4 linked regions of the Saccharomyces cerevisiae S288C genome follow. The gene in region 1 interacts genetically with each later gene. Each region holds a gene or a part of one and is shown in the gene's direction. Other genes may lie near its edges.

What was found.
Region 2: mutations in SOA1 (region 1) and MRH1 together harm fitness more than expected from each alone (negative genetic interaction), as found in Saccharomyces cerevisiae (2 studies listed by BioGRID).
Region 3: mutations in SOA1 (region 1) and SUL1 impair growth when combined (synthetic growth defect), as found in Saccharomyces cerevisiae (one study listed by BioGRID).
Region 4: mutations in SOA1 (region 1) and SUL2 impair growth when combined (synthetic growth defect), as found in Saccharomyces cerevisiae (one study listed by BioGRID).

The regions. Positions count from the first base shown.
Region 1 is NC_001141.2:27,594-35,525, reverse strand, and holds SOA1 (Soa1p), read left to right. Parts: upstream 1-2,959; coding exon 2,960-4,588; downstream 4,589-7,932. Other genes in the region: NIT1 (Nit1p), read left to right, coding at 840-1,439; YIL165C (uncharacterized protein), read left to right, coding at 1,449-1,808.
Region 2 is NC_001136.10:503,472-510,946, forward strand, and holds MRH1 (Mrh1p), read left to right. Parts: upstream 1-4,675; coding exon 4,676-5,638; downstream 5,639-7,475. Other genes in the region: MIX14 (Mix14p), read left to right, coding at 27-392; PST2 (flavodoxin-like fold family protein), read right to left, coding at 628-1,224; LYS14 (Lys14p), read right to left, coding at 6,266-7,475.
Region 3 is NC_001134.8:784,560-793,872, forward strand, and holds SUL1 (sulfate permease), read left to right. Parts: upstream 1-4,675; coding exon 4,676-7,255; downstream 7,256-9,313. Other genes in the region: CTP1 (Ctp1p), read right to left, coding at 1-13; YBR292C (uncharacterized protein), read right to left, coding at 143-514; VBA2 (Vba2p), read left to right, coding at 2,447-3,871; cation-transporting P-type ATPase PCA1, read left to right, coding at 8,290-9,313. UniProt on the Saccharomyces cerevisiae protein: High affinity uptake of sulfate into the cell.
Region 4 is NC_001144.5:319,683-328,632, forward strand, and holds SUL2 (sulfate permease), read left to right. Parts: upstream 1-3,861; coding exon 3,862-6,543; downstream 6,544-8,950. Other genes in the region: alanine transaminase ALT1, read right to left, coding at 1-333; XDJ1 (Xdj1p), read left to right, coding at 1,019-2,398; GEP5 (Gep5p), read left to right, coding at 2,615-3,496; NYV1 (Nyv1p), read right to left, coding at 6,831-7,576, 7,718-7,733; GIS3 (Gis3p), read right to left, coding at 8,048-8,950. UniProt on the Saccharomyces cerevisiae protein: High affinity uptake of sulfate into the cell.

The DNA.
Region 1 (7,932 bases):
CTAGAGAAGATATTTATGCATTTTTCGGTATATCAGATAAAAGTTGGTAGTGCTCGAGCTTTTCTTTCTATACCAATAAATGCTGCAAAATATTATAATCTAATTAGTACTGAAGTAACTCTAGCAAAGCACAGGTGACAAAATTTGTGCTGGTGATTGTTGGTACTGCTATCGCCAGAATAGTCGAGATGTTTGCATGTATCGACTGCTATGCGCGTAAGAAATTGGAATTTTGTATGGATAACTATGGCCGACCACTGCACCTAGCAACAGTGAAGAACTCGTTTATCGAGAGACGAGTGTCGAGATAACAGATATGACAATTAGATTATGTAGCCGAAACCATATATTAGAGCCAGTAGTTGTTTGATCATAGCTTGATTTTCATTAATTATCAGTCCTCTTCCGTGTAGTGCCTTTTTTCTTCTGCAAGCGAACTTTTTACAGATGGAAGTTCGATAACAGAGGAAAAAGGCGAAAGGTGGTTACTTGAAACATGGTGTATCTTAAAAACCGCTCGAAATTATAGAGGTGAAATTACAAGTTACTTGCGGTTCGATAAGCAAACGCATTTACGCTTATACTTTGGAGCCACATTTCACTATGAACGCCACATTATATTAATCCCACCGCGATTTGAAAACGGTTATCAGTAAAGTTGGCCTAATGCTTACGAAATATGAGCTATCTTTTTTGCTTCGTAAAAAAAATGGAGCCCAGGCCTCCGTGACTCATAAAGGGCAGTGTATATAAATAATAAAAGCTCTTCAATAAGAAAGGGTGATATTATGACTTAGGGTTAGCCAATCACTTTTCGAGGCTACCTCTAGTTAACCACAATGGCGAAACACATTGTTGCTGCCCTTCAAATCGGCTCTTGTCCGGGCTCTACTAAGGATACCTTGAAAAAAATTTTGTCATATGAGAAGGAGATCAAGGAATCTGGTGCCAAGTTGGTCGTTATCCCAGAAGCCACTCTTGGTGGTTATCCAAAGGGATCGAACTTTGGGGTTTATCTAGGCTACCGTCTTCAAGAAGGAAGGGAGGAGTATGCTAAGTATCTTGCCGAAGCAATTGAGATCGGAAACGGAGAGAAATATCCAGAAATTAGTCAGTTGTGCGCACTATCGAAGGCCACCGACGCATCCTTATGTGTGGGGTGTATAGAGCGCGATGGGACGACATTATATTGTACCATGGTTTATATAGATCCTAAAGATGGCTACGTTGGGAAGCATCGAAAACTGATGCCGACAGCTGGCGAAAGACTGATATGGGGTCAAGGCGATGGTTCGACTCTGCCTGTCGTGGATACCGCTGCTGGGAAGATTGGCGGTGCTATCTGCTGGGAGAACATGATGCCTCTACTGAGATACGCCATGTATAAAAAAGGGGTTGAGATCTGGTGTGCCCCAACGGTGGATGCTAGGCCTATTTAGAGGACTGTGATGAAAAATATTGCATACGAAGGTCGTCTATTCTTGATTAGTGCAGTGCAGTTCATGCCAGATGCGACAGCAATGGGCTTTGGGGAGATTATTGACCAAGCTACAGGTAAGAGAAAATTACCTGGATGGCCATCTGCTGACGACAACTGTATTAATGGAGGTAGTGTTATTATTGATCCTTATGGAGAGATTATTGCAGGGCCATTGCTAGGGCAGGAGGGCCTTTTAACCGCCGAAATTAACACTGACTTGATTGCTGAAGCTCGCTTTGATCTTGACCCTGTCGGACATTATGCTAGGGGAGATGTCTTCCAGTTGACTGTCAATGAAAGGTCACACGATGTCAAGTTTACGAAATGAATACCGCATAAATCCATTAACTAGGCTTTCATGAATGGTGGCTCGAAAATATTCGTTAATATCAATATGTCTGTTATATAATGTTTTATGTACAAGAGATAATGTAGATCTGTAATATTCAATCAAATAGGCATTTGTTTGAAATCCATACGTCTCTAAGATATAATCCAAGCCATGATTTTGAAATCAGGATCGCAAACCTGATCATTTAATTTTTACCTTTTTTTAAAATATAAATTAACATTTATTAATAAATAGGTGTATTTGAGAAGTTTCATTTTCGTTCAACAGCCCAGTTATCATCATTTCACAAACAAGAAGGAGATATTAGCATTTTCTCCCGGATCCGATTAACACAGTTTTTTTGTTTAATCCGGTGTGAAGAAGATTTATAAATGTCGTGATATTTTTTAATGTGGAGATTGTACGATGACGGGTAGGAGTCAAGACAAGCTAAAGAATGCAGCCTTAATAATTGCGCCTTTCACAATCAAAATTATGCATTGACCCGATACAAGAATCACCGTGTGGATCAAGCCATTCTTACCAAGCTTACTTTTGCCGTCGCCAAGGCTGTTTGTAGTCATTCTCTGAACTTTTTTCCTTGGCATTCGGCTCGACGCAGAGAATTTCGGATCGATATAATCCCGAAATAGTCCGTTTCTCGGATAATTGTGCCGAAATGCATCATATTACAACGTACTATCTTGAATTGCTAGCATTCTCGTAAGAAAGAAAAACCTCGAGCAAATAGGCTACATTTGCTGCTGCACCCCTTTACAGCACAAAGTCGTTGCAGCTAGCTCCTTAAAATAAGGACCCTGCAGTCATGTGGCATATATAATAGTTGGCGAAGCTTGAAGCCTCACTTAGAGGTTGACGCCTCACTTGAGGTTTCAACATATACTGATGGTTTCATTTCAACAGCCTATGGGTCAATTGGGAATAACTATCAATGCTACCAATTTGTCACACTTTATTGCCTAATAGGTTTGGCGCTTACTATCAAATACATGACGTATTCCCTGCGCTAGGTTCGTCTTCTACTGAATCATTTAGTATAAAAAGGCAGCGTTCAATTGTTGATTATTGAAATTATTTATTGTACAAACAATTAATAAAAAATTCAATCAACAAACAAAGTTTCATCTATGTCCGTACAAAAAGAAGAATACGATATTGTAGAAAAGGCCCAATTATCTGTGTCCGCAGAAAGCTTAACATCAGATTCGGAGAGTATTTCACATAACCCATTTGACGATTTTCATAAAGCAGAGCGTTGGAGAAAAGTCTATGAATCCAGTGGTTATGAAGGCTTGTCTAAATTCGATCCTGAGTTTACATGGACAAAGGATGAGGAAAAGAAATTGGTAAGAAAAATGGACTTGAAGATTTTTTTGTGGGTTTTTATTATGTTTGCCTTTTTGGATTTAATAAGGAAAAATATTGCAAGGGCAGTTTCAGACAACTTCATTGTTGACTTGAAAATGAACACGAACGACTACAACCTTGGCCAAACTGTTTATCTAGTTATATTTCTAGCAAGTGAACTACCCGGCAATCTGCTGTCCAAAAGATTTGGTCCAGAAAGGGTCATTCCGGTTCAAATTGTGTTGTGGAGTGTAATTTGTATTACTCAAGCTGGTCTGAAAAATCGAGGTCAATTTATTGCTACTAGATGCTTATTAGGAATGGTACAGGGCGGGTTCATCCCGGACAATATTCTATACTTGTCATATTATTATACTGGAGCTGAGCTCACATTCCGCCTAAGTTTCTTTTGGTGTGCTATACCTCTTTTCCAAATTTTAGGCTCTCTTTTAGCTTCCGGAATCATAGAGATGAGGGGTATTCATAACTTAGCTGGCTGGCAGTACCTATTTATAATTGAAGGGTTTCTGTCCCTTTCTGTTGGCGTGGCATCCTTTTATTTAATGCGTAGAGGACCTACGCAAACTGGTGAGTCTGCATTTCACAAAGGAAAATCGTTATTCACTGAGTATGAGGAGAAAATTATGGTTAACAGAATTTTAAGGGATGACCCATCAAAGGGTGACATGAGTAACCGACAACCAGTTACCTTCAAGGAGATTTTGTACACTCTAACAGAATTTGATCTATGGCCATTGTTTATCCAAGGTATTACAGCATTCATATCTCTTCAAACAGTTGGTTCCTATTTATCTTTGATATTAAAGAGTTTAAATTACTCTACATTTCTTTCGAACATTTTAGCAATTCCAGGCCAAGCCCTGCTGCTAATAAATTTACCATTAGCGGCACTATTATCGCGTAAATTGAAAGAAAAATCACTTTGTGTGGGAATTGCCAACGTTTGGGTGCTCCCTTTCATAGTTTCTCTGGTCGCTTTACCGACTGACACAAACCCCTGGATCAAGTATATATTACTAACCGGTATACTTGGTCTTCCCTATACACATTCCATTCTTGCTGGTTGGGTCTCCGAGATTTCAAATTCGGTAAGATCGCGTACAGTGGGCACAGCGTTATACAATATGAGTGCCCAAGTTGGAGCAATCATTGCTTCTAACATGTATAGAAATGATGATAAACCTTACTATACTAGAGGTAACAAAATACTTCTAGGATTCACTTGCTTCAACATTTGTATGGCTGTTGCTACTAAGTTTTACTATATTAGTAGGAATAAATACAAGGACCGCAAATGGAACTCTATGACAAAAGAAGAGCAGATCAATTACTTGGACACAACTAAAGATAAGGGAATGAAGCGTCTTGATTATAGGTTTATTCACTAGATTAAGTTTTCGTGTATTAAAATTTTTGCTGTTAGAGTAATGCTACACGCAAAAGCGAGAAGTCATACATCAAAAAAAATTATTACACCAGAGCAACAAAAGGTTAATGCAAAAACTTTTTTTTTTCGAGTTTTTAAGGTAAAGGTCATGGGATGTTATTGCTTTTTAGTAGTTTTGCACTGCTATACCACAAAAGCAGGTGACAGCAATTGTGTGTTCACGGAAACAAAAAAAAGTTTTTGAACATAATAACACCAAAATCTTCGGTAATTGATATCAAAATACAATGACCAATTGTAAATATTCCTCTGAACCAGCCTAATGCTTCTCAAATAATCCCCAAGCACACAAATATTCTATGTAGGAGCTCACAGGTCAACGCGCTAAGCTACCGATGTTACCTTACATTCATAAGGTGTCATCTGTTTATGCTGTTTGCAGATAACCTTCATTTGTGATCTCTTGCAACTTTCTTATCTCAAGATTTCACAATATTCCGCGTGAATCGTAGAATTAATTTCTACATTCATATGTAAATAAAATTTTCTTTACTACTCTCCGAATTATACTAGTTAATTCTTTCTTCTACATATTAGTAATATCAATATACACTCTTTTTTATTGATTTTTTTATAAATTATTATGGCATAGCATAGCTTCAGCGTTACTATCCGCTTAACATTTCTCATCTACCAAGCTACTTGCAGGAGCTTCATCCTAGGTGCTTAATTGCTTTAATACTGTAGTATCAGTAGATTGAATTTCCAGACCACCATCCAATAAAAAGACTAGAACGAAAAAAAATGAAACACATCTTAATAAGTCCGAACGTACATAGATAGATCGCGATCCATTTCTATTGCTCTAAGATCGCGTGTGTATTTGAAAATTATGATACGTTTAATGTGCTCGACGCTTTCACCAAGTCTTCATACGTCATACATGATCCACCGCATGCGATTATAATAACGATATCATCCTCATATATTTTTTGTTCCAGAATGTCTTCAAGAATCTCTGGATGATAACATAAATGTAAGGATGCTCCACAGGCTGGTTCCACTATAAAATTGTAGTCATCGGCATATCTCAAGCATGTTGCCAGAACGTCTTGATCTGATAAAACTACAGACTTACATCCATACTTGTTAAAACTCTCAAACGCGAATGATGCTATGTATGGGGAGGCCAAAGAAGTTGCAACACTTGTCAATTTTTCAAGAGTAACTGGACTACCTTTTTTGAGAGACTTATTCAATACGTCACAACCGGCAGTTTCTACAGCAACGACCGGAATTTTTTCAGCAAGCTGATTCCTATCTAGGCCTTTAATTATGCCACTAAATAGCCCACCACCACCAACACTACAAACCAAAGCTTTCACCCTAGGTAAGGATATATCATTTTCCTTCAATTGTTCTATGATTTCATCCACAATCGTAGAATGACCTTCCCAAATTGTCTCGTTATCAAACGGGTGCACATATAGTGTCTTCGAACCATGTTGGCTTTCTTGCGCCATTCATTCGTGCCTCAAGTATTCATCTGCTTCCCCCCAATGATCACCATGGATAATGACTTTGGCTCCTGCACTTTGAATTTTCTTTACCATTCTAGGTTTTGTAGTTTTAGGAACCACTACACTGCAATTAAGTGCCATCGATCTGCAGGCAGTTGCTGCTGCTAAACCAGCATTTCCCCCAGAGCTAGAAAATACAGCAAGCTTCCCAGAACCCTCGCTTAGCGCTTCTTCATTACTCTTCCTTATCAAATGCCCGATTCCTCTCGATTTGAAACTTCCACCTGGTTGTAACATCTCATGCTTAACGTAAAACCACGAATTTGTCTTACCATTGTTCAAAAATTGACGAATCAAAGGTGTCTTTTCATAGTAAGTCATTTCCATGGTAACTTCTTCCTTAAACCTTGAATAATTTATTATATTGATCTCGGACTATGAGCCTTTGTTGTTAACTGTTACGTTATAATAAACTTCTATAAATGTAATTTTTTCAAAATGTCTTCATGACTATATATGAATTCTTTCCGGCTAATATACTACGCTTAGTAATCTTCCACTTTTATCTAGCATCATTTCCAGTTTCGAAATTATGTAATTTTTCCATATTCTAACTACGATAAGGACATTGCCGTTTAGCCCAATGGGGAAATACTACAAGAGGCTAACAGCGTTCGATAATGTTCAAAGAAAGAACCTGATATCTTATGCTGTACGAGCTTTCTTAATACCATATATACTACGCTATGCAATGTCAAGAATTTGAGGATATGATTCCGCCCAAACGATGACGATTTGATTTGAATTACCGTTATGGGTGTGTCAAGGTGAATGGCATGTACGGTATTTGTAAACTAATGCTATATATATATATATATAAAGAATGTAAATAAGGTAGGGCATCATTCGTTTAATAGTTGACTGTTAATATTTTGAAGGTATGCCAACCGTAAACCAAGAAAACGGGGATATCTGTAGTTTTATGTGGCAAGGTCTGTGAAGAATCAGTTACAGTCTAGGATGTACAGCATGCACTAAAGTCAAGACGTACTGCTTTTCTCATAGTTCTGTGATGGGCAAGGGTCCAAAAATAGGAGCTAGCCCAAGACCGTCAAAAGGTTCTTTGTGTTGAAAGCAATATAGGTGGAAGCTCGAGATATAACAGCAAGTAATTACAACTGCGTTACAAGCAAGACATAAAAAAAAAGAAGAGGCATGGTAAACTTCATGTAAACCTTTAAAAAGTGTACCACATGTCATTAAAAGTTTCCACTGCATAAGGAAGAATTTTTTAAGTTGTTAAGATAACACCACAAACAAATTTTTGCAGACAATGAAATATTACATTAAGTAAATGGATGGTTTCTAATTTCCGCACATAGAAGACAAATTTGTACGTGTGGCATCCCAATTCAGTGTCCTAAAGGAAGTGCAAGAAAGGGTGTCATCGTAAAAGAAGTTGACCATAAAATTTCATCACAGCAGGATGTTCTGCTAATAAAAAATAAAATGAAGAGAGCACAAGACAGGCCATTTCACCTTTCAGTCCTGCGTGTTATTCTAGCCTTCAGTGGAAGTAAGAAGTAATACCCTTTTACCCAACCGAAAGCTACAGAGACACCAAAGAAAAGTATTCTCTAGAAGAAAATACCCTGACGGGGAACATTCGACATTTGATGACATACCGGACTATAGCAAATACTTGATGGTGCATTATCCTTCTTCTGACCAACTTCTTTAGTTGATGAGGTCGCCTCAAGCTCCTGGAACTACATCCAGAGAGAAGGTGTAACGTAAAATTACAATGAGATGCTGTCAAAATAAC
Region 2 (7,475 bases), on another chromosome or scaffold:
TAATAAGTTAAAGATAGGTGAAGAAGATGTCTGATATTTTGGATGAGATTGTCATAGAAGATGTTGTGGCAAATTGCCCCCAGGAGTTTCTGCAATATCATAAATGCATAAGAGATAATGAGGAAAATCCTGGGAAGTGTAAAGATGGAAGAATGATATTATCTACATGCATTAGAGAAAAAGTGCCCAGTGTGAAAAGTATCATGAGCGAATGTAGTGAGCCAATGAAGAAATATGACCAATGCATTCGTGATAATATGGGTACAAGAACTATTAACGAAAACTGTCTAGGATTCTTACAGGACTTAAGGAAATGTGCGGAATTGCAGGTTAAAAATAAAAATATTAAGCCTTCAATTAATGGAGTAAACTTGGAATTAATCAAGGACTGAATTAATAGGCTTCCTTTGTTTATTTCCGCCATTTTTATCGTTGCATAAAGACATTATATATTCCTGTGAATATTTTTTAACTAAAATGTCCGAAGAAATTACTGTATTTAAAGTATATATATTTTCTAAAGATACTTAGGTATACCTGACGGGCAGTCCTTTTTTCATCACAGAATAATTTTCGGTAAAGGATCATTCATTTCCATAGGTAGGAGAAGTAATACTTCAAATTATTTCAAAACTTTGCAACGGTTTCGTAGAAAGTCTTGCCTTGAATTTCGTGTACTTGTAATTCCAAGGCGGAAGGAGATCTTGAACCGTCACTGCCTGCAATGGTACCCGCACCCCATGGTGAACCACCGTGAACTTCATCCATATTGGTCAATTCAGCGAAAACATTCTTGTAACCCAATGGGACAAAAATGATACCGTGATGAGCCAAAGTAGACAAAGAGTTCATAATTGTGGCTTCATTACCACCACCAGTTCCGGTGGAGACGAAACAACCAGCGACCTTACCATGCAAAGCACCCTTAGCCCACAACCCACCGGTACGGTCCCAGAAAGCCTTCCATTGAGCAGGGAAGTTACCAAATCTAGTTGGAATACCAAACAAAAAGGCATCATATTCTGTCAACGTATCTTGAGTGGCAATTGGGTAATCTGGCTTTGGAGCACCGCCAAGCGCCTTAACAACTTCTGGAGACAACGTTTCCTCGACTTGATAAATGTCTGCAGAGCCTCCAGCGGCTTCAATTCCCTTCTTTTCTGCCTCTGCGGTGGCAGCAACGTGACCATATAGTGTGTAAATGATGATAGCTACTCTTGGCATTGTATATAATTGGATTCTTTTAACTAGAGAGTGGTGATGATTTATTGAATATATTATTCGACGATATTTAATTATATGAGAAAAACAGTAAAAAGAATAAGGCCAAATGCATTGATCGTTTTGCCGCTCGTTGACGTTTATATATATTTTATTGTTGTCCAGAGAGTAACTGTACTCAATTGTGGGAAAGGGGTTGCTAACGAAGCCAAGGCTTGCCAATACACTGCGCAGGTGCAGCCCCGCAGAATTATTAATTTTTTACTAAGACAGTCAAGAGACGGGTAAGCGATCGCAATGAGCGGCAATAGGAAAAATTAATAATGAATCAGTCAGCGTCGCAAAAGCCACAAGTAAAACGATTTAAGTCCATAATGTTATCCAGGGAAACAAGCCAGGCGCACGCACCTTAATAAGTTGGACACTCATCAAAACGCATGAGTCCCTCTGTTTCCAAGGCCAAAGAGGTGGCAGCCAATAACTATTAAGTTACGCTAGATGTTTCGAACCACCCAGGTCACACTGTCATTATTAGTAGTACATATATATATATATATATATAATTATCATTTAAAAGGAGATATATTACTGATAATCAAAATAGTAAAAACTACATCCGGAGTATGACAGTCCAACGATTATGTAGTATACTCCTTTTCACGTTTTTGCAAGAAATATTCCTTCTTCTTGCCATGATAAAAAGTTGTATTTAGATATTATCTCGATTTAAGTGGCTCTTCTTTTATTTCTTGCTACTGGTGGTTTTTTTTGTTGTCTTTCGTCCCAAGACAGAAAAAGAAAAAGAAGAATATAGGCAAAAATATAAAAAAACAAAACAAAAGAGGAAAGGGAAATTAAAAGAATAGCAAATGCTTTAATCACACACTTTGCGCTTCCTACAAAATTACGGCAATGATTTTGGATGTAACACGTAAAGATAAATAGCATAGTTCGCTTTCTTTTAAAAGAATAACTCTTGTTTCATGAAAGGATTTTGGTATGGCCCCGCAAAATCATTCAATTTTTTGTCATAATATCTTCTCTTTCACGATATAGATTCACGCAAGGGCGCTCACAGCAATGCTATCTCAATTGTAGAAATCTGCGAAGCGAGCAAAAGGCGCTTAATTTTGAATGCTCCAGTCAAGGCGAAAGAGTTTTTATTGAAGATGCAAGATCTTATGCAGATGTAAGGTTAGCGGTAATGTGTACTACATGCATAATTAATAAAGAAATCTAAATTACTTCGATGTGCTCATGCTCATACACCTAATTTTGTTTTCATATTTCAATGCCTTTACAAAAAATTGAGAACACAGAGAAGGCCTCCGATTTAGAATAGTACAAAATATCTATTTTTTTGCATTTAGGCTCCGTATAGAGTAAGCGAAGAAAACCGCCTGATTCAAGTGATTCTGCTTTTTTGGTTTACTTTCCACGCAGATTGGCTGCTCTGTTTGTTTATTTGTTTTGGGAACGCGGTATTACCTCTCATTTCTCTGAGCGACTTTTCAACTTGGCGCGCCGACATTTGCGCTTTTTTTTACAAGTTGTCAAACTCTCGGATTATTTAAAAAAAAGGGTTTTTTGCTCTTCTTGTTCCCATCTACGGGTTTCACGGAAAAACTACCCCGAAAAAGAAGCACAGCTTTATAAAAAGACCGTATTAATTTGCTTTATTGGGTAATAACGGGGCATTCGGGACATACAATCATACGCTAGATGCTGCGTGTAATAATTAACATTGTAAATCCCTATCTTTTTTTTTTATATAAGTAGAGTACTTTAAAAAGAGTGGACGACTGAGTTCATATACAAGCAGACGCCCTTTCATTTAATCTCAATCTTGTTTCAGGCCGGCTTTTGTCCATAACTGCTACGCTGCGTAAAAAAAAAATAAGAGAAATTGAAAAATATGGGCGTCGTCTAAGGATGGTAACTAGCTTCATTATACTATGGGTCTTCCTTCTTTTCCAACGCTTCCACTTTGACCTCAATCTCTTCTCGATGGCCTAAGGTAGCAAGGTTGTGTTAAAAAAAACAAATACATCAGAGCAAGACACTTTTGGGTTTATTAGGTATTATAGGTATAGGTCAATTAATTTCTTATCTTTTGTTGAGAGGATAAGGGTAATATTAGCGACCCTTAAGTAATTTTTGTTCTGTTTTACTTCAGTTTAATAAAAGCGACTGCCGCCGACCTTACTCCCTTTTTTTTATTATGCTCCTCGAGACAAGGTCGCTTAAAAAAAAAAAAAAGCTTAGTCAGACATGCAATCAGCGCAATTTATGGAAGCTGGAAAGGGGGGCCGCATTTTATGCACTATCTCTTGAATTCAAAAAGTAATTCAGGCCAAATTAACTAAGGATGCAAATGAAGCGAGTACTGAACGAATAGTCATGTTCTGAATTTCAAGCATTCAAATTTTGCTTTTCAGCGCTGTTCATCTTAGCGCTTACCATAAAGAGGAATACGTAATTCAACAACGGAGTTGAAAAATTTTTAAAATCGTGCCGGTGTTAGTGAGAAGAGGATGGAGGGAATTAATACTTCGATGGAAGATGCAACTTGCAAATGTAGTCCGGTTACCAAGAGACCCAAACCTCTTCCACTTTACTATTTCTCCTTTGAGAAATATATCAGTTTGCGGTAATAGGTAATATGAAAAAGGCAATAAAAAAAAGAGATACTTGTCACCATCTCGTCTCCCTTTACCTTTTTTACTTAATCTTCTTCGTCGTCATCTGTTCCATCCCTTTCCTAGCTTAGTCTTCTCCGGCTAGTTCTTAGTGCGGTGAGCAAAAAAAATAGCGTTTTTTTTCCCTCACCAGGACTTTTTTTGTTAACCGAAAATCGGCATCTCTAGTTTTCCTGGACAAAAAAGGCAAAATGGAAATAAACACTCATACGAATCAGTAAAGATGTAAATAATCGCAGTAACGACTGCACAAGGATGTCAGAAAAAGCAGTTTAATTCCAGAAGTGGTTTTCCAATTTATCACACATGTACATGAAGGGAAATGTATAAATACGGTCTTCGTAAAACAAAGGATCTCTTCACCTGGTTTCTTCATTTATAAGTAGTGTCTTTTTCGGTAACTTAAGATATATCCTTATTTCTTTCCCACTTCTCGTTATTTCTTCTTTTTCCCTTTTCAAGTTCTTCTTTTTATTTATTATTAAGCTTATTTTAATTCTTAGATCGTTGTCACTATCTTTTGTCCTTATTGTTAAGAAACATTGCGAAGAAAAAGAATAATAAAAGAAACTCAGAAAAAAAAAAAGTTTCCTCGAACAAAAATATTATTATTTCAATAACTTTTTCTTTCTCTACATCCAATTTTTTGACCCTATTTTAACATTAATTTTTTGCTTTAATTTTAACTAATACCTAATTTCACTTAATATCTAATCATCTTCCTTTAACCCACAGAACAAAGAAGAAAAATAACAATGTCTACCTTTGAAACTTTAATTAAAAGAGGTGGTAACGAAGCCATCAAAATTAACCCTCCAACCGGTGCGGATTTCCACATCACTAGTCGTGGTTCCGATTGGTTCTGGACATGTTTCTGTTGTTACCTATTATTTGGTTTAATTTTAACATTCTTAATGTTCAGAAAACCAGTCAATGACAGATTCTTTTACCTTACCGGTATTGCTCCAAACTTTTTCATGTGTATCGCTTATTTCACCATGGCTTCTAACTTAGGTTGGATTCCAGTCAAGGCTAAGTACAACCATGTCCAAACTTCTACTCAAAAAGAACATCCAGGTTACAGACAAATCTTCTACTCTAGATTCGTTGGTTGGTTCTTAGCTTTGCCATGGCCAATTATTCAAATCTGTATGCTAGCTGGTACCCCATTCTGGCAAATGGCTTTCAATGTTTGTATTACTGAATTCTTCACTGTTTGTTGGTTGATCGCTGCCTGTGTTCACTCCACTTACAAATGGGGTTACTACACCATCGGTCTAGGTGCTGCTATTGTCGTTAGTATCAGTGTTATGACCACCAGTTACAACTTGGTGAAACAAAGAGATAACGATATCAGGTTGACATTCCTTGTTTTCTTCAGCATTATTATGTTCTTGTGGATTATTGCTTACCCAACTTGTTTCGGTATTACCGATGGTGGTAACGTTTTGCAGCCAGACTCTGCCGGTATTTTCTATGGTATCATTGATCTTATTTTGATGTGTTTCATTCCAACTTTATTGGTTCCAATTGCTAACCACTTCGGTGCTGACAAATTGGGCTACCATTTCGGACCTAGTGATGCCGAAGCAGTGATGGCTCCAAAAGCTCCAGTTGCTAGTCCAAGACCTGCTGCTACACCAAACTTGAGTAAGGACAAGAAAAAGAAGTCTAAGAAGAGCAAGAAATCTAAGAAGTCTAAGAAGTCTGAAGAATAAGCCAATCGTCATGTCAATTATGTGCTACTTTCTTCTTTCTTTCAATCATCTTTGAAGAATTTTCTACTTCAAGCCAATCCTATAAATGGATAAAACTGTCTTTATTGATTATTTGACAAGATTATTTTACTCCATCTTCAACTTTTATCATATTTTATTTTATTTTCCTGACGTTTCAATATTTTCGTTCGTTAAATTATCACCATTTCTTGTCGAATTTTTATTTTCTATCATAAAGTGCAATTCTAGACTCATTTTTTAATTTAATGGATCCATTTAATCCATTTCGTCAAGCAAGTATGTTTTCATAACAATATTTTGCTCAGTGCATTTTGATCAAGAAACGTATAGTTGATGATTAGAAACGAGCTTTTTTATGCCCATCGTCATCTATATATATATTTGTATCACTTTAATAGTTATTTTAATATTTGATAACAACCTTTCTAATAGTATTGTTATGGAAGGTTTAGTGCTGGAGGAAAAAAAAGAAAGATAAAGGCACGGTGCCTGCTTTGCGCGGCATTCTCGAGAAAAATAGTTCTCGGACTTTTGACGTGCCAGTGCAATTATCCGTACACAATTTTATATCAATCTACAGGCAAAATTATTACGTAAACAGACAAACTACCATGTTAAAACGTCTTGTTCTTCTAACCTGTAATTTTGATTTTTACCATACCAGACCTTTTCCAGTCTGTTAAGATTATGTTCTGTGAGCTTTTGAAATTTTCCACCATTGATTTTATAATATCTTTTAACAATCGCTCTTGTTTCCTCGTCCATTGCATTCAAACCTGCAATCAATACAGCAAAATTACTATAACAAGTCCTTGAATTTTGTGGCGGCGAGTCACTGTCTAAGAATTTGAAGAAAGACATGATTTTCTTGACCACTTGTTGAATGGTACTTGACTCTTTTGGCATACCTAAAAGTTTTAATAATACAATTAATAAGAAAGATAAAACTTGTGTCTGATGAGAAATATCATACCAGCTGATGGCAACTTCTTCACCGTTCTTTAATGTCACCATATCGATGGCATTATCATGAATATTACTAATTCTAGGGTGTGACTGATTGTCTGAGGGTATAATTCCAGATTTGTCAATAAATTCGTAATCTAATTGCTTGTCAATTTCCACTAGAATTTTCTGCGTATTGAAATATGATATCTGGTCTTTGGACTTTTCGGACGAAGTTTGGGATGATAAAAGCAGATAGTCTAATTTCTTAGTGAACAAACCTTCTTCTTTAGAAAAGTAATTTTTTTCAGTTGACCTAATTGTATTGAGTGATTTGAAAACTTCTTTAATAACAAGATCGAAATCTTCTTTATGTCCTCTTAAAAGATTAAACTCATTTAGTGGAGTCATAATATTTAAAAATTTTAACGAGTCAACATATTGGTAATCATATGGATCAAAAATTGCATCAAGGTCATTATTATCAATTAAAGATCCGCCAAATACCGTACTTATACTGGCGAATGTTTCCATAACTTTAAACCAACATTTTGCAACGTTAAGTACTTTGGAGGAATTCCCGGCATTGATTTTTTTAAAAAGGTCAGTTACACCTTTTAAGTGAGACCTCCATTGAGAATTCATTGAATAAATACAATCCCATGCAAGCATGATGACCGTCAGGATGATAGGCTCTATCCTATTTAAAACGTTTGACTCATTCTTGAATTGTTCACCCAACAGGCTCAGGCAATGTGACAAATAAGCACAATAGTTTCGTTCATCTTCCAAGTTATTAGACTTTCTATATGCTATAGATGCTCCCGTAGCTAATATGGAAGATAAAAGATAGGCCTCGTTTTTCGCAAAT
Region 3 (9,313 bases), on another chromosome or scaffold:
CTTTACTGGACATCGGTAAAATGCTAATTTATAATTCAAGCTCTACTTTGGAGTTCTTTCATTGTGACATCAAAATGTTTTTAATTTTACGTTGGCTTCGACATTTTACGTTTTATATATCACGCTAAAGTGAGACTAAATTTCATTGTTCTTCTTTTTTTTTTTTTTCACTTCTAATAATTGAAAATTCCGCAGGAATTCTTCCATATTCTTGACTCTTCAGTAAGACTAACTTAATGGAAATAGAGAAAATAGTACATATTTGAAAAAAAAAAAAGAGGTGTTGAAATGATTTGAGAATATTAAATAGCTTACAAGCGTTAGCCGAGTTCCCAGACAGCAGAGTTTCTACCCTGTGCTCTTTGTTGGCGGCTTTATTGATGAGGAATATAAAAATGTAATTAGGCAAACCTACGCGCGAAAATATAAGAAGCAAAGATATAAAGTGTAGTATATTTGAATATTTACATGAACGAAACGGCGACGTATAATGGTAATCGGCTGGGAACTTCATTAAAAAGTCAAGATGTAAGTTACCTCTTAGTAAGAAGAGTTATTGCAGCAAGCTTAGTATCAATAGGGAGACTCTGTCATGTAAAAAAATAAATGAACACAATCATAACCTCTTCGACTGGGCTATTCGTTGTATAGTATATGTGGTGGAGTGTAATGAATGAAGTTCTCAGAAGCTTGAAAGCATATCAAAATCACGTATTGACTATGACAGATTCTTGTTTCTTGCTCCATTACTCCATTCGAGTTTTTCACAACTTTTGTCGTTCGTCTATAACATCTCTTTTTTTTCCCACTCTTCTAAAATATTGGCATAGCTGACATGTTTGGAACCGAATAAGCAATTACAATACGACAGTAAAATAAAAGCATGTTATTGCTGCTTGTAGAGAATTCCTGCATATGTAACTTTCTCATTCCGACGGGATAAGTTCATAAACTAATCAGCGATGAGTTGCGGAAAATTCGTCAATAGAATATTTTCCAGTCAGTGGTGGTCCCAGTGGCCTGCAACCTAATGGCTATAGTTCTGGATAATAAATTGGGCAAAGGTCAGTATAAAGAATGAATGTATCAGGCCGTAATTGAAGCTTTCAAGTCCAGGTGAAAGGCCAAATCGACAATTAGCGAAAACAGGATTTTTTTACCAACTTGAAATAGTGACTGCTGTCTTTTTGCCTGATTAAGTGGTTATATATTTCAACTAATATCACAACAAAAGGCCTCTCAAAATTTGTGGCGAAGTGTACATCCTGGGTGCTCAGGTAAGCGTCGTCTTCGTATTTTTTTTTTTTCAACAGTAGTTTGGAAATAATGCTCTTCGAGGAATGCGAGCGGAAATGTTATCCACTGTATAAGTCGATATTTTAAGGGACGCTAAATATATCATCATAGCTCGTCTATTGGTGGCTTCTCCAATTGCACTTTCAATGCATTATGGTAAAGTGTGGTGATAAGGCATAGTGATGTTTACAGAGGTCTGTTGGTTTCTCTGGGCTCGCTCATCATCCGACCAGTAACCTTGTGGGGTTTCACATATTGTTCTATGCATTATTATCACGGATTTGTGCCTGCAAATGCTGTTTCTTTGGCTTTTCTTTCTAAAAAAATTATGATATATATATTGTTCCTCCTTGTTTAACAGGCTTTACGGTATTGTGGATCCTAGTAATAGGCGTACTTTTCTTCATTTACATATTTGAACAATATATGTCTCACAAGTAGTTGACCGAATAGCGTTACGTAAGGGTCAAAAACCTTTTCAGAATTGTATATATGACATTTTTAGAACATGATATAATAAACAGAATATAAAAGAAAATAGAGACGACGTACCATGGCATGAAGAATTGTACTGATATCACATTGTGTTGAGCACTGATAGATTAATACTATATTTCTGCTAGGTGCGGGGGGTAACATGTCCTAATGTGTGGCAACCACATTCTAAGGCTCGGTAAGTGATGCGATATATGTGCATGTGTGGCTTTCTTCCTAATTTGCTATTAGATGATTGTGTGCAAATCCACAGAAATATACAATTTCGAGAATATATATACTAGTTATCGTTATAAGAACACACAGTATTGGCCAATTCTTGCCTCTGAATGGTACAAAATGCTTTAAAATGTAGTAAATGAAACATTAATTCCAAATCAGATTTTTTTTCGCAATGCTTAAATCTAGTAAACACAAAGTACTACCGAAAAGCAAGGATGGAAACTATGGCAGTATTGAAGAGACTGAAATTCCTTCTGTCGACTACAGTGAAGACTTAGATGAGGACTTGGACAAAGGCGAAGATATAGCGCTTTCAAGAATCCCAAATTGATGGATTATTGAAGCTACTCTTTTTTCTAATGTCTTTTTGTCCGGTTTTGACGGAACCGTTACAGCTTCGACGTACCAAACGATTGGTAACGAATTTAATCAGATGAGTATTTCAAATTGGATCACCACTGCGTATTTAATTACATCAACATCTTTTCAACCTCTTTATGGGTCATTTTCTGATGCACTTGGTCGAAGAAACTGCCTTTTCTTTGCTAATGGGGCTTTTACCATTGGATGTCTAGCCTGTGGTTTCTCGAAAAACATCTACATGCTTAGTTTTATGAGAGCATTGACAGGCATAGGAGGTGGTGGCTTGATCACACTTTCTACAATCGTAAATTCAGACGTTATTCCAAGTTCGAAAAGAGGAATTTTTCAAGCGTTTCAGAATTTACTTTTGGGATTTGGTGCCATATGTGGAGCGTCTTTCGGTGGCACAATAGCGTCGAGCATTGGTTGGAGGTGGTGTTTTCTCATCCAAGTACCCATATCTGTGATTAGTTCCATATTAATGAATTATTATGTACCTAATCAGAAAGAATATAATCGTCAAAATTCTAGCATATTCCAAAATCCCGGAAAAATACTCAGGGACATAGATGTTATGGGCTCAATTCTTATTATAACTGGTCTCACACTACAGCTTCTTTACCTGAGCCTGGGGTGTTCTACTTCTAAATTATCATGGACCAGCCCTTCTGTGCTACTGCTATTAGTTGGGAGTGTAATAATCCTCTTACTGTTCATATTGCACGAAAGGAAAACAAGTGCTAGAGCGATTATTCCTATGGAGCTGGTCAATTCCTCCTACAGTGTCGTTGTACTTTCGATAAGTATACTTGTTGGTTTTGCCAGCTACGCGTATCTTTTTACTTTACCATTATTCTTTCAGATTGTACTTGGAGATTCCACTGCAAAAGCAGGATTACGTCTTACGATTCCTTCCCTATTTACTCCGGTAGGCAGTCTCATAACAGGATTTTCCATGAGCAAGTACAACTGTCTAAGATTATTACTCTACATTGGTATTTCTTTGATGTTTTTGGGTAACTTTTTATTCCTGTTTATTGAAAAAACTTCTCCGAACTGGTTGATTGGTCTATTTTTGATACCTGCAAATCTAGGACAAGGTATCACTTTTCCTACGACCTTGTTTACTTTCATATTTATGTTCTCTAAGAGTGACCAAGCTACTGCGACATCAACTTTATATTTATTCCGTAGTATTGGATCTGTATGGGGTGTTGCAATTTCAGCTGGCGTCATTCAATTATCTTTCGCAGGTTTATTGCGTAGTAATTTGAAAGGTCTACTGGATGAAAACAAGATAAAGAAACTTATTGTTCAGCTTAGTGCAAACTCCTCATATATTGGATCTTTACATGGCGAAGTTAAAAACACAGTCATAAAGAGTTTTGATGAGGCAACAAAGAGGGCTCATCTAATGTCTACATTACTCTCTTCATTGGCCCTGATACTCTGCATCCTTAAAGACAATCTGGCGAAACCTAAAACAAGAAGATAAACAATATATACCTATGCCCTTGACCGACTCAATTGATACATTAACAGTATTGAAACTAGATATTCTACTTGACACTAAACTTTTTTTGTATTTCGTGGAATTGCAACGTTTCTAATTGACCGACAGTGCTGAACTGTGAGCGAATGCAACTATCTCTATAGTTTTTTTATCCTCTGTAAACTTTAACTAAATACATACTACTTTCATAATCTGTGAATAAGATGTGGCTGTGATAACCTAAAATAGTCACAAACCAATGAAAAAAGGCTTCAGAAAACTTGCTGTAAAGTCCCCCCACTTTTTTGTGTTACCGCCACCTCGAGTGCACTTTTTTTAATAAAGATCTCGTGTAATTGTCCAAATCTGACTTTTTCTTATAGTCTCGCTGGAACCACAGTGCGGCTTTGCAATTTTGCAAATCGGAATTTGAGTCACAGATCCCAGAAAAACTCCACACCTTCCCCACGCAGCAAGCGATAACGAACAAGTTGTCAAATTAGACCCATAATAATTTTGAACACTTCTACCTGTTCATGTCTTTTCTCGAACACTGTCATTTGAAATTATGCACTGTGAAAAAAAGAAACAAAGACCAAAAGAATAATATAAATAGTGAAGTAAAATGTGTTGTAATGCACATGGATCTTGTACTGCTCAAACTTAATATTTCTATTGTAGAAAAATTTTCGATTTAAAATTGTGAAACCGATTATATAAAAGTATATTAGCTGACATTAACGTCTCAAAACCAGGTCAATAGCTTTAAAAATAAAAATAAATCCCTGCAGAATACTCGGAAAGAATATGTCACGTAAGAGCTCGACTGAATATGTGCATAATCAGGAGGATGCTGATATCGAAGTATTTGAATCAGAATACCGCACATATAGGGAATCTGAGGCGGCAGAAAACAGAGACGGACTTCACAATGGTGATGAGGAAAATTGGAAGGTTAATAGTAGTAAGCAGAAATTTGGGGTAACGAAAAATGAGCTATCAGATGTCCTGTACGATTCCATTCCAGCGTATGAAGAGAGCACAGTCACTTTGAAGGAGTACTATGATCATTCTATCAAAAACAATCTAACTGCGAAATCGGCAGGAAGTTACCTCGTATCTCTTTTTCCTATTATAAAATGGTTTCCTCATTATAACTTTACGTGGGGCTATGCTGATTTAGTGGCAGGAATTACAGTTGGCTGCGTACTCGTGCCCCAATCTATGTCATACGCACAAATCGCTAGTTTATCTCCTGAATATGGTTTGTATTCCTCCTTTATTGGTGCGTTTATATATTCTTTGTTTGCCACATCGAAAGATGTTTGTATTGGTCCGGTCGCTGTAATGTCACTACAAACTGCCAAAGTCATTGCTGAAGTTCTAAAAAAATATCCCGAAGACCAGACAGAAGTTACAGCTCCTATCATTGCAACTACCCTTTGTTTGCTTTGTGGGATTGTCGCCACTGGGTTGGGTATACTGCGTTTAGGCTTTTTAGTGGAACTTATTTCTCTAAATGCTGTTGCTGGCTTCATGACCGGTTCCGCATTTAACATCATCTGGGGTCAAATTCCGGCTCTCATGGGATACAACTCATTAGTGAATACCAGAGAAGCAACGTATAAGGTTGTAATTAACACTCTGAAACATTTACCAAACACAAAGTTAGACGCCGTTTTTGGCTTGATTCCGTTGGTAATCCTCTATGTATGGAAATGGTGGTGTGGTACATTTGGTATAACTTTGGCAGATAGATATTATCGAAATCAACCAAAGGTAGCAAATAGACTGAAATCCTTCTATTTCTATGCACAAGCTATGAGAAATGCCGTCGTCATAGTAGTTTTTACTGCCATATCGTGGAGCATAACAAGAAACAAATCTTCAAAAGACCGTCCAATCAGTATTCTGGGTACAGTTCCCTCGGGCTTAAATGAGGTGGGAGTTATGAAAATCCCAGACGGTCTGCTATCTAATATGAGTTCAGAAATACCTGCTTCAATTATCGTTCTGGTGTTAGAACACATCGCTATTTCAAAATCCTTTGGTAGAATTAACGACTACAAGGTTGTCCCTGACCAAGAACTTATTGCGATTGGTGTGACAAATTTGATAGGGACATTTTTTCACTCATATCCAGCAACTGGGTCATTTTCCAGATCTGCTTTGAAAGCAAAATGTAACGTGCGCACTCCGTTTTCTGGGGTATTCACTGGCGGTTGCGTTCTATTAGCACTTTATTGTTTAACTGACGCCTTCTTTTTCATTCCTAAAGCGACACTATCGGCGGTTATTATTCATGCTGTTTCTGATTTGCTGACTTCTTACAAAACCACCTGGACCTTCTGGAAGACCAACCCGTTAGATTGTATCTCATTTATCGTTACAGTGTTCATCACAGTATTTTCATCCATTGAAAATGGTATATATTTTGCAATGTGTTGGTCATGTGCAATGTTACTATTGAAACAGGCTTTCCCTGCTGGTAAATTCCTTGGTCGTGTTGAGGTGGCAGAAGTATTGAACCCAACAGTACAAGAGGATATTGATGCTGTGATATCATCTAATGAATTACCTAATGAACTGAATAAACAGGTTAAGTCTACTGTTGAGGTTTTACCAGCCCCAGAGTATAAGTTTAGCGTAAAGTGGGTTCCGTTCGATCATGGATACTCAAGAGAATTGAATATCAATACCACAGTTCGGCCTCCTCCACCAGGTGTCATAGTCTATCGTTTGGGTGATAGCTTTACTTACGTGAACTGCTCAAGGCATTATGACATTATATTTGATCGTATTAAGGAAGAAACAAGGCGAGGCCAACTTATAACCTTAAGGAAAAAGTCAGACCGTCCATGGAATGATCCTGGTGAATGGAAAATGCCAGATTCTTTGAAATCACTATTTAAATTTAAACGTCATTCAGCAACAACGAATAGTGACCTACCGATATCGAATGGAAGCAGTAACGGAGAAACATATGAAAAGCCGCTACTGAAAGTCGTCTGCCTGGATTTTTCCCAAGTTGCTCAAGTGGATTCAACCGCTGTTCAAAGCCTGGTTGATCTGAGAAAAGCTGTGAATAGGTATGCGGATAGACAAGTCGAATTCCATTTTGCCGGAATTATATCTCCATGGATCAAAAGAAGTCTTTTGAGTGTTAAATTCGGAACTACAAATGAGGAATATAGTGACGACTCTATTATCGCTGGCCATTCTAGTTTTCACGTTGCAAAAGTTTTGAAGGATGATGTGGATTATACTGATGAAGACAGCCGTATAAGCACATCTTACAGTAACTATGAAACATTATGTGCTGCAACTGGGACAAATTTACCGTTTTTTCATATCGATATACCCGATTTTTCTAAATGGGACGTTTAGTGTAGTAGATAGTAAGTACTTTAATTACCCCCCCTGTTTTTAGTTATACATGAAAAGATAATTGTGTTATTAATGTAGATTACCATCAAATAGCTGGAATATTTATTATTTTGAGTATGTTGAATGGCGAAAGTAAAAATAAATTTTATAATTTCCTGAAAGCATTAGTACACGAAAAGGGCCGTTTTCAGTAGTTTAAGGCGCTGAAAAGACATGGTCTAGAAGTTAACTTGAGCTTGAGCCTATTTTCTACAAATGTCCTTTGAAAATACAAAAATAAAAATAAAAATGCATTTAAGTATTAAGCTTATGCTAGATAGAGCAACATTTTCCTAATTTTTTTTGAATTTATTTCATGGTTTTTAGGCGGAAAGAGTTTGGACGGCTTGTCTCTCCTAATGTGGAAGAAATTATGTTTTGTTATGAATCTGAAAAGAAAAATACTATTTTAGCAATACAATGAATTTTAAAAAGTTACCCTGTACTTTAATCCTTCAATTAAAACACTTCTTAAAATAGTATATTTTGAAGATCATCGATATATATACAGAGGCAGTTTTGCAAGGCAGATAACGTTATTGAGTTGTATGTAGGCTGTGTGATTTTAATCTCATAAATCAATAATGGAATAATTTTCTTATTGTTAATATCGATTTATATTTTCCAACAATACAATGAAGTAAGTACTATTTCTATTTGGAAGGAATTCATTCCCCATTTTAGCTCCTCGAGCGGATGAATCCATCACTGTTTTGAAGAAAACCAACAAAGTGTCAAATAGTTGTCTTTTTGAAATTGGTTCTGAAGAGTTTTCGGAAAATGATCTGATAACAGGCCTTTCTAAAAATATAAGGTTGAACGAATGTATGGGTTAGGTAATCAAAATTTAGGCGCCAACAAGGAATTTTTCTTTAAAATCGCATGAAAAGCCTACACTTGGCATAAATAAGGTGCAATTATAAATATAAAAGCAAGATATTTTCGAGATGCTTCCAGGATTTATACAATGAAAGAGCCCAAAGCTGCTGATAACGATGAAGCCGGAAAAACTCTTCTCCGGTTTAGGTACCAGCGATGGCGAGTATGGAGTGGTAAATAGCGAGAACATATCAATAGATGCTATGCAAGATAATAGAGGCGAGTGTCATCGTAGATCCATAGAAATGCATGCTAATGACAATCTGGGATTGGTCTCCCAGCGAGACTGTACCAATCGGCCCAAAATTACTCCTCAGGAATGTTTGAGTGAGACTGAGCAGATATGCCATCATGGCGAGAATAGGACTAAGGCTGGGTTAGATGTAGACGATGCTGAAACCGGTGGTGATCACACCAATGAATCCCGTGTAGATGAATGTTGTGCTGAGAAAGTGAACGACACTGAGACTGGCTTGGATGTGGACAGCTGTTGCGGCGATGCTCAAACAGGTGGTGACCACACCAATGAATCCTGTGTTGATGGATGCTGCGTTAGAGATTCTTCAGTGATGGTCGAGGAAGTTACAGGCAGCTGCGAAGCTGTATCTTCTAAAGAACAATTGCTGACCAGCTTTGAAGTTGTTCCAAGCAAATCTGAAGGTCTGCAATCTATTCATGATATTAGAGAGACAACTCGCTGCAATACCAATTCCAACCAACACACAGGGAAGGGTAGGCTTTGCATCGAATCAAGTGACTCTACACTCAAGAAAAGAAGTTGTAAAGTTAGCAGACAGAAAATTGAGGTTTCCAGTAAGCCTGAGTGCTGCAACATTTCATGTGTTGAGCGGATTGCATCTCGTAGCTGTGAAAAGAGGACTTTTAAAGGTAGCACCAATGTTGGAATTTCTGGGAGTAGCTCTACCGACAGTTTAAGCGAGAAGTTCTTCAGCGAACAGTACTCTAGAATGTACAATCGTTACTCCTCAATTTTGAAAAATTTAGGTTGTATCTGTAACTATTTGCGTACTTTGGGAAAAGAATCTTGTTGTCTCCCAAAGGTGCGTTTTTGTAGCGGGGAGGGTGCTTCTAAAAAGACAAAATACTCCTACCGCAACAGTTCTGGATGTTTAACAAAGA
Region 4 (8,950 bases), on another chromosome or scaffold:
CAATTGTTCGGCGGGATAAAACTCGTTATTCGAAGTTTTCAACGTGTGGTGTGGAAAGCGATTCAAATGACGCAGGTCGTTTAGCGAAGATTGACCAGATAATGAACGTCTATGATTTTGAGCAACAATCCAGGAAGAGCTATGTCTCTGTAGGACGGGTCTAACTTTCCTGAAAGCTTTTAACTTTGTACTACTGGCTGAGGTAGAAAAAGGAGTAGTGATATGTGGCATTTTTTCTGCGCTTGAAGTGAGAGTCCTTATATGATATGACTTAATAACGTGAGTTATAGAATTACTCACTGTGAAGTGATTTTTGGCAGACAGTGATAACATCGTGGAGAGAGCAAAATAAAGACTGGGGAAATATATTTATATGCGTTCAATTGAGAAGCAGAAACAATTAAATGCGGGGGAGAAACAAAGAAGCTGGTCCTGTTCTCGAGCAACGTGTGACTAGTATGAACAACTAGAGTAAAATAGCGAGAAAGCAGTAGTAGTAACGGAAGAGCTTTTCCTAGTATGGTCCGCGGGTCACGATCGTTTACAAAGGGCGCAGCAAACTCTAAATACGTCAACCACAGCAGGTCAGAAGAGTACGTGAAGTTGTCTCAACGAAAGGTCGAAAATCGTTAGGCTTGGACCCCTTCAGAATGAAAAAAAAAAAAGACGCAAGAGTGAAAAAAAAACCAGTACTGTAAAAGCAGAAAACGTCTAATGGGAAGTGCTACTATGTAAGATTATATCATGAATGTGCTGTGTATTATATATGGATTATATAGCCACGAATATGCGGTAAATAAACATATGCATATATGTGTGTGGGGCAGCGCTCTGCTGTGCAATCCTTGTTTCTTTGTTTCTTGGGTCGGGATTTGAGTAGCGACGAGCCATCCTCTGCAGAAGGGAAGAAGAAAGAAAGGCAGAGAGGCAAAGAAAGAGTCAGGCTTATCTTATCTTAAGAGATATGCCGCTTGGACCCAAAAGAAAGGGAAAAGTAAGTACGCAGGTGTAGTTTTGAATGAGTGGCAGTGATAGAGGAGACCGGTTATACGATGTGTTGGGGGTGACGAGAGATGCGACCGTGCAAGAGATTAAAACTGCTTACAGAAAGCTTGCCCTGAAACATCATCCGGACAAGTATGTGGATCAAGACTCAAAGGAGGTAAATGAAATCAAATTCAAAGAGATCACTGCCGCTTACGAGATCTTGAGCGATCCGGAGAAGAAATCACATTACGACTTGTATGGTGATGATAATGGTGCCGCTAGCAGCGGTGGCGCTAATGGCTTTGGAGATGAAGATTTTATGAACTTCTTTAACAATTTCTTCAATAATGGAAGTCACGATGGAAATAATTTCCCTGGCGAGTATGATGCGTACGAAGAGGGCAACTCTACAAGCTCTAAGGATATCGATATCGATATATCTCTTACTTTGAAGGATTTGTACATGGGCAAGAAGCTGAAGTTTGATTTAAAGAGACAGGTCATCTGTATAAAGTGCCACGGTTCTGGCTGGAAACCAAAGAGGAAAATTCACGTTACACACGATGTGGAATGTGAATCATGCGCTGGAAAGGGTTCAAAGGAACGTCTGAAGAGGTTTGGTCCCGGTTTGGTAGCTTCGCAATGGGTGGTCTGTGAGAAATGTAATGGTAAGGGGAAGTACACTAAAAGACCCAAGAATCCAAAGAACTTTTGCCCCGATTGCGCAGGCTTGGGGCTCCTGTCAAAGAAGGAAATCATCACAGTGAACGTGGCTCCGGGACACCACTTTAACGACGTAATTACAGTCAAGGGGATGGCGGACGAGGAAATCGATAAGACCACATGTGGTGATTTAAAGTTCCATCTCACTGAAAAACAAGAAAACTTGGAGCAGAAGCAAATCTTTTTGAAGAACTTTGACGACGGCGCCGGGGAAGATTTGTATACAAGCATTACCATATCGTTAAGCGAGGCCTTGACGGGATTTGAGAAATTTTTGACAAAAACCTTCGACGACAGGTTACTAACATTGAGCGTTAAACCTGGCAGAGTAGTAAGACCTGGTGACACCATCAAAATCGCCAATGAAGGTTGGCCCATTTTAGATAACCCTCATGGCCGGTGCGGCGATCTGTATGTTTTCGTTCATATTGAATTTCCACCAGATAACTGGTTCAATGAAAAATCAGAACTACTAGCAATAAAAACGAATCTGCCGTCATCTTCATCTTGTGCCTCACATGCGACTGTAAATACTGAAGATGACAGCAACCTGACTAACAACGAAACTATATCAAATTTCCGGATCATTCACACGGACGATCTTCCAGAAGGGATAAGGCCGTTCAAGCCAGAAGCACAGGATTCAGCGCATCAGAAAGCAAGAAGTTCGTACTGCTGTATCCAATGATGGCATCAATAACTTTTTATTCTATTTTTTTTTTTTTTTCATAAGTTATCCTACCTGTATATATGTATATATATGAAATTCATTTACTGAATGCGGTGAAGAATGAAGTCTTTCGCACCTTCAGTAGAAAAATAGGAAGAATCCCCATCGCGGCGGACATAAAGCAAGCATACAAAGGCCTTCTATCAGAACAGCGATTGCGAACTTGGAGCAACAATGGCGTCCCAGGTTAACGCCTTATTACTGCCGGTCATAGAGTCTACGCCGCTTCATCAAATAACCAAGGTAGCATTGACGACCACACTCACAAGTAAACAAAGCGATTACAAGTTCAAAGAAATAGCCGTGCCGTTAACAAAATCACTACAACTGTACGAGAAGGCGCAAAGAAGACAAGATTTAAGGGCAAGCTTAAAAGCACTGGAGAGTATCATTTACCAAACGCACTTCCAATGGAATAACCCGCTCCCACGACATGCGCATCTCTTCCAAAAACACTACCACTTTCTACTGACTCACTGGCCATTTGAGAACCACAGAGACTTGGTAGATTCCATCGCTGTAAACAATGGGAAACTAAATTCAACGTCTTCAAGGAGCGTCTGGCTGAAGGCGGATTGGATAACACTGTTTAACGTTAAAAACCCTTGGGTCCAAACGCCGCCATCGTTAATGCGTCTGAGTGGGACAGATCTTGATACCTTCACACCAGAGAGGATATTCCTGATAAATTCTCTTGGAAACCACTACAAATTTTTAATAGCGAACAGTCATCTAAGCTACAATCACAAAAAATACCCCTCCCCTGGCGTGCAAATTCCTGTCAGGAACGCTCTTGGCGAAGTTTCTCCGGCCAAACAAATTGCCCAACTTTTCGCAAGACAGCTGTCTCATATTTACAAGAGCCTCTTCATAGAAAACCCCCCGCTCTCTCCTGAGAACGAGCTGGCATTGACTGCCGTCTTCTATGACGAGACTGTAGAGCGACGCCTTAGAAGGCTCTATATGCGAGCTTGTGCAAGGGCATATACGACTACTAATGCCGACTCCACCACGGAGCCTTTGATGTTTCATTGCACCCGGTGGGAAGTTGATTAGTTGTTGTTGGCTGTTATACTGGAGTAAATGTCACGTGCCACTGTGGCCGTGTCAGGTCACGTGAAGAGAGAAATTCGGCCACAGTTGTGGTCCTAAACAAGGACTGAAAAAGATCGCAGAAACTAGCAACGTCGGATAGCGGTATGGTTGAACCAAAGTCCAGTTTTTAGTCATAGCCGGTTGAGGGATGATCTGCCGTTCAGTGTTCTGCGTTCAATAATACGCATATATATATATATCAAGGTATCAACACAATACTTGAACAGGTTAGGCTCGTACTAAAGCCTGGAAGTTTTTATCTTTCTGTAACATTTTTCTTTCTTGAGGTGTGTGTGTGTATAGATTAGCAGGGAATTATCTAAGATATGTCCAGGGAAGGTTATCCAAACTTTGAAGAGGTAGAAATTCCTGACTTTCAGGAAACTAACAACACCGTTCCAGATCTTGATGATTTAGAATTAGAGTATGACCAATATAAAAATAATGAAAATAATGACACGTTTAATGATAAGGACTTAGAGAGCAATTCTGTAGCAAAGCACAACGCAGTGAACAGCTCAAAGGGCGTAAAAGGCTCGAAGATTGACTACTTTAATCCTTCAGATGTCTCGTTGTATGACAATTCCGTTTCCCAATTTGAAGAAACAACGGTATCGCTAAAAGAGTACTATGACCACAGTATACGATCTCATCTCACGGTGAAAGGAGCATGTAGTTATCTTAAGAGTGTTTTTCCCATCATCAACTGGCTACCACATTACAATTTTAGCTGGTTTACTGCGGATCTTATTGCAGGAATTACCATTGGCTGTGTTCTCGTGCCGCAATCCATGTCATATGCACAAGTCGCCACGCTACCAGCGCAGTATGGGTTGTACTCCTCGTTTATTGGTGCTTACTCCTACTCTTTTTTCGCTACATCAAAAGATGTTTGTATTGGGCCCGTGGCTGTCATGTCTTTGCAGACCGCCAAAGTCATTGCGGATGTCACGGCAAAATATCCTGATGGAGATTCTGCCATAACTGGTCCCGTTATTGCAACGACTCTAGCGTTACTATGTGGTATCATTTCGGCAGCAGTTGGCTTCTTGCGTCTAGGGTTTCTTGTCGAACTGATTTCCTTAAATGCAGTCGCTGGATTTATGACTGGATCCGCGTTTAATATCTTATGGGGTCAAGTTCCAGCACTAATGGGTTACAATAGTTTGGTTAACACGAGAGCTGCCACCTATAAAGTGGTCATAGAGACCTTGAAACATTTACCAGATACCAAACTGGACGCAGTTTTTGGGCTAATCCCGCTTTTCCTTCTTTATGTTTGGAAATGGTGGTGCGGAACATATGGACCAAGGTTGAACGATAGATACAACTCCAAAAACCCAAGGTTACACAAAATTATCAAATGGACATATTTTTACGCTCAGGCTTCCAGAAATGGTATCATTATTATTGTATTCACTTGTATTGGTTGGGCAATCACAAGAGGCAAATCTAAATCGGAGAGGCCCATCAGCATCCTAGGCTCAGTTCCATCCGGTTTGAAAGAAGTCGGGGTTTTCCATGTTCCACCAGGATTAATGTCTAAGCTTGGTCCAAATTTGCCTGCATCCATTATTGTGTTATTGTTGGAGCATATCGCTATTTCGAAGTCTTTTGGTAGAATCAACGACTATAAAGTCGTCCCCGACCAAGAATTGATTGCTATTGGTGTCTCGAACCTTTTAGGTACTTTCTTCAATGCTTACCCAGCGACTGGTTCCTTTTCAAGGTCTGCTTTGAAGGCTAAATGTAATGTCCGTACGCCGTTATCTGGTTTGTTTTCGGGTTCATGTGTTCTTTTAGCATTATATTGTTTGACCGGCGCATTCTTTTACATTCCAAAGGCTACCTTATCTGCAGTTATCATTCACGCTGTATCTGATCTTTTGGCCTCTTATCAAACTACCTGGAATTTCTGGAAGATGAATCCATTGGACTTCATCTGTTTCATTGTCACCGTCCTAATAACGGTATTTGCCTCTATTGAAGATGGTATTTATTTTGCCATGTGCTGGTCATGTGCAATGCTCATTTTAAAAGTGGCTTTCCCAGCGGGAAAATTCTTGGGTCGTGTGGAAGTCGCTGAAGTTACTGATGCTTACGTCAGACCGGACTCCGATGTGGTTAGCTACGTGTCTGAAAATAACAATGGTATTTCCACTTTAGAAGATGGTGGTGAGGATGACAAGGAAAGTTCCACCAAATACGTCACAAATTCCTCCAAGAAAATAGAAACAAACGTTCAAACAAAGGGCTTTGATTCTCCATCTTCTTCGATTAGCCAGCCAAGGATAAAATACCATACTAAATGGATACCGTTTGATCATAAATACACAAGAGAATTGAACCCGGACGTTCAGATTCTCCCCCCACCAGACGGTGTTCTTGTTTATAGGCTATCAGAGAGCTACACCTATCTCAACTGTTCCAGACACTACAACATCATAACCGAAGAAGTTAAAAAAGTTACCAGACGTGGTCAATTAATTCGCCACAGAAAAAAATCTGACCGTCCATGGAATGATCCTGGTCCATGGGAAGCACCTGCTTTCTTAAAGAATTTGAAATTCTGGAAGAAAAGGGAGAACGACCCTGAATCCATGGAAAACGCGCCCAGCACCTCAGTCGATGTTGAAAGAGATGACAGGCCATTGCTGAAAATACTATGCTTAGACTTCTCACAAGTGGCACAGACAGACGCTACGGCTCTTCAATCATTGGTTGATTTGAGAAAGGCCATAAATCAATATGCAGATAGGCAAGTTGAATTCCACTTTGTGGGTATCATTTCACCATGGGTGAAGAGAGGTTTAATTAGCAGAGGATTTGGTACTCTGAACGAAGAATACAGTGATGAATCCATTGTTGCCGGTCATACAAGTTATCACGTCGCCAGAGTACCTCAAGGCGAAGAAAATCCTGAAAAATATAGCGTTTATACCGCTTCAGGAACAAATCTACCTTTCTTCCATATCGATATCCCAGATTTTGCTAAATGGGATATCTAGCCAATGCATTTACAATGGACATGCAAACATTTATATCATCTCTTTTTTTCTATATTCCTAAACCAAAAAGTTTTCCCCCTTAAAAGTATACATTTAATATCATAATGAGATAGACACTGTTTATATAATAAGAAATAATAGGTAGGATGGTGCCATCGTGAGCATATACATACCTATAAATATTTACCTTATTTTTATTTTATTTTTCTCTTCCTCTCAGGAACAAAAGAAATACAACCGTTATTAATGTTATTGTCGTGGGACAGCTCCCCTTTTTTTTTATTTACTTACCACAGATAGAAAAACATGAAAGCAGCACTTACAAATAGTATAATAGTGAAAGTTAATAACGTAATATTTTTGACCTTCTGCCACCACATTATTTCTTTTATATTGACCGCTTTGCGCCTAAATTTATTACTGCTGCTATTTAGTTGGGAAGTTTTATCCACCAATAAAGAAACTCTTTCTTGTCTCTCCAAGAACTTGTCGATGTTATCGTTCATTATCTGGATGACGTCCTTTATTTGGTCTTCGGTGGCATCCCCGATGTCACTTATAGTGTTCTGACCATTCCCATTACTAGATTGGCCATTTCCAGAACTATTTAAAGTTTGGTTACGGTATTCGACCAGCTCTTCATGGAAAGAGTCTAGTATTTGACCTACATGCGAACTTAAAAGTTCGTTTGTAGCGTTGGACTCGTATTCCTGCAGCCCACTTAGTATCCTGATGGGCAAAATCTTGGGCATATCTACTAATGTGAAGCAAACGTACACAGTTTTGGGGTCATGGTCATCCGTGGAGTAGAAACAATCGAATCCGTCGATGAGATTCATTGACATCTTGGTAACTTTGTTCCCCTTGATCGGAACTACTTTGGGTAATACCATATCCATGATCAAATTATGGAAAATGACCGGCGTTATCTGCTCGTTTGCTGAAGTTATTGTACCATAGTTTTCGTTTTTCTGGAACGGCTGGAAACAACTAGATATTGTTTCACCATTTTTTATAACTTCCACATAACTTACTAAGACCATATGCAAAATCAAGCAAAATGGAACGTTAGTCTACTGAATGTAACATAGTAAAATTATGGCATGGGGGGATGAGCATTCGCATAATCCCTTTTTTAAACATTTGTTAATTGTGTAGAAATATTTATACATACCATTAAAGCGTTTCATTTGGTAAAAATATAAAAGTCCAATGCTCTAACAGCTTAATAAATTGTCGCTTTTCACTCTGTTCTTCAAATTTAATAGCTGTTGCTCCAACTTAGTCAAGTGCTAGAAAATTCATAGAGGGGCTTTTTTTCATCATTATTGTGACCTCATTTTTTCTTTCTTCGATCGTTTGAGGCGAATATTACCCGGGCGCTTGGTGGTAATGCGTTGTTTTAAATATTATATATAATGAATGTGGTGGTAGAATATATAGTTTACTATTTTTAGATAATGCAAATGGGTGGGGTGAAGGCGATGAAAAGGTGGGGGGTCTATCAGAGAAACCTGCTGTCACACCAGCCCTTTACGACATATTGAATCTCTCTCGTAGGTGCGGAAGTCTTATTGGTGACTTTGCCTAAATTTAGTTTTCCGCATGGTTTGAGCATTGTGCCGCCATTGTTGAACCATGGCTTGACGTCTGAGTGTACGCGGACCAAAGAACTTTTCAAATCCGCCGTTGCATGTTCGCTTGCGGATTCACGGCCTTGCGAAGGTTCCGTATTGCTTGTCGTTGCAACAAAGTGCAAATTCCAGGGGGTAGAATCGCCAAAAAGATCATTTCTTGTTTCATGGACCATGTCAGACCATAATTTTTTCCTAGTAATTAGGGCAAGCTTAATATCGTTCGTAGAGACATTTGGCTCCTTTTTGATTTCCAAAGACCGAATTTCGGAATACGTTAGCTGCTTCAACAGATGGTCATCTACTTCGACTTCGGGTAAAATACTCTTCCTTTTACATGATGTTTCAATAGAGTATAACTTTAGGAAATTGGTATTCAAACTTTTTTGTCTTATTCTTTTATTGGGCAAGAGCTCGCTAGATGCAATCGAACCGTCGGTCTCGGGCGATGGTGATGCAGATGGCCATTGTTCTAATTCTACCAGGTCATTTTCGTAAATCATGTTTTCTGTAGTCGATTTGCTCCTACTCTTCCTTCTTGAAGTCTTGCCGCCTTTCTTGTCGATGATTTGGAAGTCCACAGAGGTCGGACGAAGTTTGGCATCGGACGACGCAGAAACCAGTGAAAGGGCAGAGGACGATCGCGGACGCCGTTCGTATACGGGAGGAAAGATATCGACTAAATCCTTAACCTCCCAGTCGTCGAACAAATCGAGATCATTTATGTTTATTATTTTCATTTTGGGCACGACCGGCTCAGCCAGTACCTCATC